Linked DNA regions of Nothobranchius furzeri. The protein of the gene in region 1 purifies or fractionates together with the protein of each later gene. This does not show direct contact. Links are inferred from orthologs where the notes say so. Each region holds a gene or a part of one and is shown in the gene's direction. Other genes may lie near its edges. The genes, in order: tdp1 and xrcc1.

Evidence for each region.
Region 2: the proteins of tdp1 (region 1) and xrcc1 purify together in Homo sapiens (affinity purification with mass spectrometry; 4 studies listed by BioGRID and IntAct, with this or other methods). This does not show direct contact. The link is inferred for Nothobranchius furzeri from reciprocal best matches to the Homo sapiens genes TDP1 and XRCC1.

Annotation. Positions count from the first base shown.
Region 1 is NC_091749.1:23,439,169-23,443,648, forward strand, and holds the start of tdp1 (tyrosyl-DNA phosphodiesterase 1), read left to right. Parts: upstream 1-1,537; 5' UTR 1,538-1,672; intron 1,673-2,911; 5' UTR 2,912-2,913; coding exon 2,914-3,493; intron 3,494-3,695; coding exon 3,696-3,739; intron 3,740-3,853; coding exon 3,854-3,909; intron 3,910-4,041; coding exon 4,042-4,138; intron 4,139-4,480. UniProt on the Homo sapiens protein: DNA repair enzyme that can remove a variety of covalent adducts from DNA through hydrolysis of a 3'-phosphodiester bond, giving rise to DNA with a free 3' phosphate.
Region 2 is NC_091745.1:68,560,433-68,564,249, reverse strand, and holds part of xrcc1 (DNA repair protein XRCC1), read left to right. Parts: intron 1-1,881; coding exon 1,882-1,998; intron 1,999-3,817. UniProt on the Homo sapiens protein: Scaffold protein involved in DNA single-strand break repair by mediating the assembly of DNA break repair protein complexes. Negatively regulates ADP-ribosyltransferase activity of PARP1 during base-excision repair in order to prevent excessive PARP1 activity.

The DNA of each region.
Region 1 (4,480 bases):
CTTTTCCCACCATTCTTTGTAAACCCTAGAAATGGTTGTGGGTGAAAATCCCAGTAACTGAGCAGATTGTGAAATACTCAGACCAGCCTGTCTGGCACCAACAAGCATGCCATGCTCTAAATTGCTTAAATCACCTTTCTTTCCCATTCTGACATTTTCACACACACACACACACGCACACACACACACACACACACACACACACACACACACACACACACACACACACACACACACACACACACACACACACACACACACCAATTAAAATAATGCTGATAGCGTGGACTAGAAGCCAGGTGATGGTTTTATTTAAATGATGATCAGGCTGCTGTAAAATGTAATCTCCATCCACATCCAGACAGAATTATCCTCTATTCTTTCTCTAGTTGCTCTGCTCTTGTCTGGGCTGATCAGGTGATGGTGCGCGTGGCGCGCCTAACAGCTGATGCACATTTTACGCATTTGGAGAGGTGGGCTGCAAGCTTTGCTTTTACTGGAAGATGGTCCACTTAACGCACGGGTGTAGACTAAATATTAATGACAAATGAATGAAAATTAAATTGTGAGTTTTTACTTCATATTTTAGAAATAAAAATGACGGGGGAAAACATTTATGACGTCTTTTTAAACTAAATTTTCTAGCGCGACCTGCCTGCTTCACTTAAGTCACTGCTTATTAAGGTCCGTCCAAAATTACCGTGGCCCACCCAAAAATGAAAACCTGGCGCCGCGCCTGTTATAAACCTCTGCAAATTATTGTTCTTCACTTGATCAAACTCAGACTTTGTACAGCTAATGTCAAGATGTAAAATTAGGAATTCAGTCGAGCTCTTCCGTCCCTCCATCTCCTGCTCTCCTTGAACCCGACATCGGCTGTCAGAAGTGGAGGTGAAGAAGGAGATGAGGCAAACAGAGTGAGTGCGACCTAAAGAAACCAGACTGGTGTGGAGGTGAGCAAAACAGAAGGAAAAGTGTGGGTGTTGAATCCCCCACAGATGCGACGCCCATGTGAGCGACCGGTACCGGCTGCTGTCACCTGTTGTGGGCAGCTCTCTGCAGTCTGAGGGTAGGCCCCGCCCACAACGCTGCGGCCGCTGTGGCTCCCAGTGTTTTCTTTACTGTGGGAAACGGGTAATAATGGCTCTTTGATGGGAACAGGTTGCCAATCCCTGGTATAAGATCTGAGCTGGTAAAACAAAAATCCTCATCATCAGGCTTTTTTTAAAGTGGGGGGGACACAGCTGCCAATCATAAAATTTGCCGGGGACATGTCCCCGGCGTCCCCGGTTAAAATGACGCCTATGCTTATTGGTATATATTCTAGAAATATGTAAATATGTTCCTGCGATCTGCGATGGACTGGCACTCTGTCCTGGGTACACCCATCGACATATATACGATGGGTGTACCCCGCCCGAATCGATTGCCCATTGACCGCTGGAGATAGCCACCCCCCACCCCCACCCCCGCGACCCTATGGGCAAGCGGGTTCAGACAATGGATGGATGGCTGTTCCCGCTATTCAAGCGGAACCTTTTCAAACAGATTGAAGTTTCAACCCGGACTCGTGTTTCGTGAGCACCCTCCTCCTGCAGGCATGCTGGATGTAAACAACAGACTTTCTTTTCACAACAGAGTAAAACTGTAGCTGCGCACCTGTCTTGGTAAAGTAAGTGCCGCGGTTCACCGCCACACTTCAGCGGTCGTGTTTAGTTTATTATCTGTTTATTTTATGTATATAACGTGGTATCTGTCGCGGTGTTTTGTAGCTGTGCATGACTGATTTTTAGCTACTTTACAGCAGAAGATTCTGGCTGTTATATTTCTGTTAGAAATCGTTGTCAACTTAGTTCTCTCAATAGTTTTTAAGAAGATAAAATAGTATTATTTCATTAAAGACGCTAGAGGAGGTTTTAAAAACGTTTTTATCTCAGCTTGAACGCCAGCGCTGTGATGCTTCTTGTAAACAGCACAGCTGTCCCATCTTCTATCCCATAATAACTTTAATGCCACATTTTCTCATTGTTTTACATTTTTAACGGGAGCAGGTCCGATAGAGACCCCACAGGATCCTAAAGACTCATTTTTTTCTGCTTTGAGTTGTTTCTGCACGGCTGGGATGGGCTCGTGTTTCTGGCTGTTTGGGTTGTTTACCCTTAAATCACGATTAATCTCAAAGTTGATTCGCTGGTCATTTAGATTCTTCCCAGTATCACTGGAACAGGAGCATCCACACTGTTGGAGACGCAGGTCAGAGGGGTGAAGTTAAAGTATTTGTGTATTTAGCTGAATTTCAAGTCTGCTGAGTAAAGGCCAGCCAGGCTCTGTGGTTCTGTCTACCATTAAAGAAGAATAACTATGTATTTAACAGACGTCATTGGTATTGCACTTTAGCTTTTATATTTTAACAATATTTTTGTTAATGTGTTTTCTGTATTTTGAATTTTCTGTTCTGCATCACGTCAGACAAATCTGAATATAAACCTTTTTTAAAGTGCCGTCTACCAGCATCAACGCCTGTGCTGGATGGCCGAAGTTCCAACATTCTTGAATTAATAACAATAATGATTGATGCTTAATGACCCCCTCCCTGAGGGGCAGTGGACTGCCACTGTGAGGGGAAACTTCAGGTTTTCACGCTCTTGTACGAAGATGCTCTGATCTCCTTTGGCCCGTGGTGAAACGGCTCTTCCCCCCTACCTCCTGGCCACATGCTGCACGCCCAGCCCTAAAGGATCCAGAGTACCGCTTCAATCAGTTCCAGAACCATGGGTTTGGGTTTGTTATACGCCTGGAGGTTTTGCTCTGCTTCTGGCCTCTAGGGCGGCAGACGATCTGAGCTCCAGATTGTCTTTTTGTGACAACATGTGTCTTCATGTGCTCATCATGTTGCTCTCTGCGTCTTCAGGCATGTCTCTGGACAGTCATCATGGGAAGTGGACCATCTCCAGCAGTGATGATGAAGATGAGCTTCTTCCCCCTTCTGGGACTACAGGTGCCAGTTCCCGTCAGACAGCTGAAATCAGCCACAGCTCTCCTCCATCTGCCTCTCCGGTGACGCTGAAGGCAGAAGCAGCCAGGACACCGGTGTCCTCTCGCTCTGTTGGCTCTGAGGCTAGACGAACTGCCACAAAGAACCAGATAAACCCAGTAAGATACAAAACCAGCCCTTCACTGGCTGGGAAGAGAAAGAATGAGGTGTCAGAAGGTACAGGCTGGGCCCTCTCGGACAGCGATGAAGATGATGGAGCTGTGAAACAGAACAATCAGGCTAATCTGCCAAAGCGAGCTCCTCTGAAACCTGAGACTAAAAAGCTAAAAGCAGAGAGCGAGCGTCCTCCAAGTCCTCATGGACGACAGTACTATATAGATGAGTCGGAGGACTTCTTTGAGTCCTGCACTCCTCGTCTTGATGACACTTACAGATTCTACCTCAACAAAGTCACAGGACTGGACCGAGAGTACAACAGCGGAGCTTTGCACATCAGAGGTGAGTTTGGATGGAGGACACCAACCTCTAATGTTCTGTACGTCCTGCAGTGTGTCCTCATGTGTCCCTCTGACACTGACTCAGTGTGAGAAGAAGGTAAAGTTCTCGTTCTCTAGTTTTATGGTGGCTGCTTTCTGTGTGGAGGTCTCACAGGGGACCAGCCCACTCCTCCGATCAGTCTGATGTTCTTTTGTCTCTGCAGATCTTCTCTCCCCGTTGTTTGGAACGCTGAAAGAGTCTGTTCAGGTTGGTTTTATTCTGTTTTCTTTTTAAAATAACTTTAAACAACAACCAGGCTGTTGGCCCGTTCGGTTTGTGTTGTTTTAATGAACTAATGGTGCTCCTCTTTCATTTTTATAGTTCAACTACTGCTTTGATATTGCTTGGATGGTTAAACAGTTTCCTCCAGAGTTTAGGTAAGTCCTGCTTCGTCTTTGCCACCTCCCCGTTCTCGCTGCTCCGCTTCAGATCCTCGTCACACAGTTCTGAAGAACACAAAAGGAAGTCTAGTTGAATGAAATGTGTGTGTGTGTGTGTGTGTTTTTCAGGGATCGCCCGGTTCTGATCATCCATGGAGATAAGAGGGAGGCCAAGGCTCGGCTCCTGCAACAAGCCCAGCCCTTTCCACACGTTCGCTTCTGTCAGGTGCTCACTGAACCAACAATGGAAGCAGCTGTTCAACAGACAGCCCATAATAGTAATGCAGTGTCGAAAAAACCGGAAAACCGATTCTGAATTGATTCTTATAAAAATGTCAAGAATTGATTAGCATCGATTCATAAGTCCAACAATCGTGTTAAAACCTTAATTGTTTAACACAGTTTGCTGTTTTTACGGCTAAAATGGGAAGGAAGGGTCCAGATGGCCTTTTTGAGGTTTAGGTCTGAAAGGGTTAACACAGTTTCCCTCGGTGTTGCACCACATAATTATGGGCATACAACTAACAGTTTACAGCCATACTCTGCAACTTTTCCATATTTTAAATCA
Region 2 (3,817 bases), on another chromosome or scaffold:
GGAGCTCAGGATGTGCTGAAGAGGAAGCAGATAGAGGATGAAGAGCAGAGGCCCCAGCACAGAACCTTGTGGGACACCATGGGTAAGAGAGGTGGTGGAGGACCTAAACTTGGAGACGGCCACAGAAAAGGAGCGCTCAGAGAGATAAGAGGAGAACCACTCCAGAGCAGATCCTGATAGGCCTACCCAGTCTCTCAGCCTCTCCAGTAGCAGGTGATGGTCAACAGTGTCAAAGGCTGCAGTCAGGTCCAGCAGGACCACAACAGAACAGTCTCCTGCATCACTGTGAGTCAGAAGGTCATTAGAGACCCTAAGAAGAGCTGTTTCAGTAGAATGAGCTCTACGAAAACCTGACTGGAAACTATCATAGATGTTCTGTTCATCAAGAGCAGCTGTGAGTTGTTTAGCCACAACCTTTTCCAAGATCTTGGTGATGAACGGAAATTTAGAGATGTGTCTGAAACGGCTATGGAGAGAGGCGTCAAGACTCGTTTTTTTAAGAAGTGGGTGGATTACAGCATTCTTAAAGTATGCAGGGACCTATCGTTGTGTCCTTGGGCAAGTCACTTAACCCCCCTTGCCTGCTGGTGGGAACCTCACCTCTGTCAGTGCACCCCAGGGCAGCTGTGTGTGTGATTAAGTGAATGACTGATTGTGTTGTAAAGAGCCTTTGGGGGTTCTAGGACTCCATAAGGCACTATATCAAATAAAGGCCATTTACCATATTTTTTTTTTACATAATAATGGAACAGTCCAGGACAAAACATTGTAAATATTTAAGTAAAAGTAAAAAAAAAAAAAAATATATATATATATATATATATATATATATATATATATATATATATTGTGCTCATGAAAAGATCAGTATTAGTGAACATTCAGCATGATCGGCCAGTTTGAAAATTAAAAATCCTACAGTTTTCCTGGTCCATAAACTCACCATCGCTAAGAGCAAATTCACTCTAGCCAAAACAGATGCTCCAAGTGAAAGTTTCTTATTCCAGCATCATAATTTTTAAGTAATTTAGAAATTTAAAGGGATGCTAGACTGTTTTTCTTGCTTTTAGCACCCCCAAGTGTCTGTTATTATCTGTGTTCAAAGCAAAAGTGAAACTTATCTCCTCGCTGTGTGTTTGTCTTTTAAGTTTCTAAAGAGCGGTTCATCACTAAATGAAACAAATCAGCTGTGTTCACGATATACAACATGCAGGAAACATGCTGGAAGCAGACTTCAGCTCCACCATGCTAGCTCCACTCCACAGCAACAGTAGGGACTGGTCCGGCAAGGCAACTCTGAAGTTGCAACTGTGGTATTCTGGTCACAGAGGGCGATGGGGTCTGAGTGACATTTAATAACACTGTAAAGAGTCATTTTAGCACATACTGGCTCAAGAAAATGATTTAAAAATGTGAAAAAGTTCCATAGTATCCATTTAAAGGAGATGTGAATTAGATGGTCTTTCAGATAAATTAGTACCGGTCAAATTTGGAGTAGACGGGGCAGAGCTGTAGATGATTTAGGAACAGGCGCCTGCAGCTTAAAGCAGAATCAATGGATTTTTAACTGAAAGAGAAGAAAAAAAGAAAACTTTATTAAAGTTGACTAAACCAATCCAAACTCATATAAATATGATGACTATATTAAATAGTTCTGATAAAAACAACTTAGTTTAATATTAAATGAGTTTTTAATACATTTTTATTCCTGTGATTTAATTCTTTGTGTTTTTTTTCATTGAGTTGTGTCACTGGCCCAGTTGCTACTCCGTGATTTAGTCTGCTTCAGCTGCCGGAGCGATGTTTTTCTGTTGTCTCTGTGGTAATGTAATCGTTTGGGTGTGTTTATGTGCACATTTGTTTTGTCTCATTAATCCCCAGCTGTGCTTTTGCCAACACCCCCAAGTACAGTCAGGTGAAATCAGCAGGCGGCATCATCGTTCGGAAGGAATGGGTGCTGGACTGTCACAAGAGGAAACAGAAAATTTCATATAAACGGTAAGTTTGGGATAAAATCTTCAATTTTTTTAACTCTAACAAGGTTAAACTACAGCAGAATTTAAAGTCCCGTCCTGCTGAGAGGCCTGAACTCTGCCACACAAGCAGCTGCTTGGATTTCAGCAGCGTTTTTTTAATAAAGGACACCACCAAGCAGATTTAGCATCGAGCATGTGCACACACTATGAACCCATGTATGATTAATACTCTCTTTTAAGCCATGCCTGGGTCTCTGTGCCATACAATCTGTGCTCAGCACTCACATTGATTGAAGCATCCAAATATACTCCCCCCCACAGCAGGGTTGCCCACTTGCTACACAGAACACTGTAACCTTGAGCAGATGATCCCTGCTGTGATCACAAATTCAGCCAACTGAGCTCCAGCAGCTCTCTAACTGTACGCCTCATTACAAGAGGGGGTCTGCAACATCAAGGTCCCCCGTTATCATTCCTGACAAATCTATGTGGACTGAATAATGTAAGGCTGAACGCTCATCCCACACTCTGGAACATCCCAATTAATTGGGAGGGTGCTGGATTGTGAGCTTCTCCTCATCATTAAGGTATACCCTCACACTCCCAACCTCCCCGCCGTTCACTGTAGTCGAACTGGGACATAAATAAAGTATTCCAGTATGTTTCAAAAAAGAAAAAAAAAAGTTTTTGACACAAAGATTTTTTTAAATGTGTCAAACTGCTCATAGATTCCTCCCGTTTGAATTTTAAGATGCGCCCAAACGTGAATCTGTCAACATGCCGTGGTTCTAAAATTGCAACAAAAGCATAAAGTCTGTTCTTAGAATAAAATAGTAGTTTATTCTAATCCACACAAGTGCGCAGAGCTATGAAATAGGTTTTGAGGCTTAACGTAGATGCATCAGAAACCAAAAAGGAGAATTGCATTATTGTAATAATAAAACAAGAAGGCTGAAAAGTTGAGCTTTAGCATCTGAGCTCTGTCATCTAAACTGGCTGGGGAGAGTTCATCAGACTGGATGTCCTTACGCCATTTTTCCTTTATAGGTCTCCTTCTCAGAGAAAACGTGATATTTTTCTTTCAAAATACAGTCAGTTGCTCAGAAGTGAGCATGCGTGCTGAACATGAACATTTTCTTCAGCCCCATCGCCTGCATTAGCCACAGAAAAGAAACAGATAGAAAATCAGTCTGATCAGAAAAAGAAAAAGTCTCCTCGACGCCACAGAGAAAAATTAGCCTTCATGGTCTCGCTCACCTTGGCTTACGACCGCAAAAGGTTGTGATGATTTTGCAGCCAGGAGAGAGCAGAGCACGTTTCAGCTAAAACCCGATATGGGGTTTTTAAGGCCGATACCGATTTTTAAAGATTTTTGTTGCAGGTTGCCGGTATCTAAAGCCGATTATTAAGGCTGATATATACGTTTTAGCAGCACATTGATTGTGAAAGACAACTCACTGTGGGCAGTATAAATTAAAGAAGTCAATAAATCTCTTAATATTTATTGAACTTCAAATATAAAACAAACTCAAAACAACATGTGTTGGGGTCCTTCGGGTCCTTTCTTCAGTCTAGTAGTGGCGGCAGTTGGCCACGCAGGTGCCTGATTATAATTTTTTTAATCGGCTTTTAAAAATATTTTCGGCCGATATAGAAGAAATTGAATATATCTGCCTGATATATCATCCGACCACTAATTATTAGCATTCGCAACTCCACAACATGGCAAAAAGTGTTGAGGCTTGTGTCATTTATGGAGATAAAACCTCAACATTGCATTTTTTGCATTAGAAGAGTGAACAAAAGCAGTAGAAGAGGCTCTGCTGTGAACCAATAATATG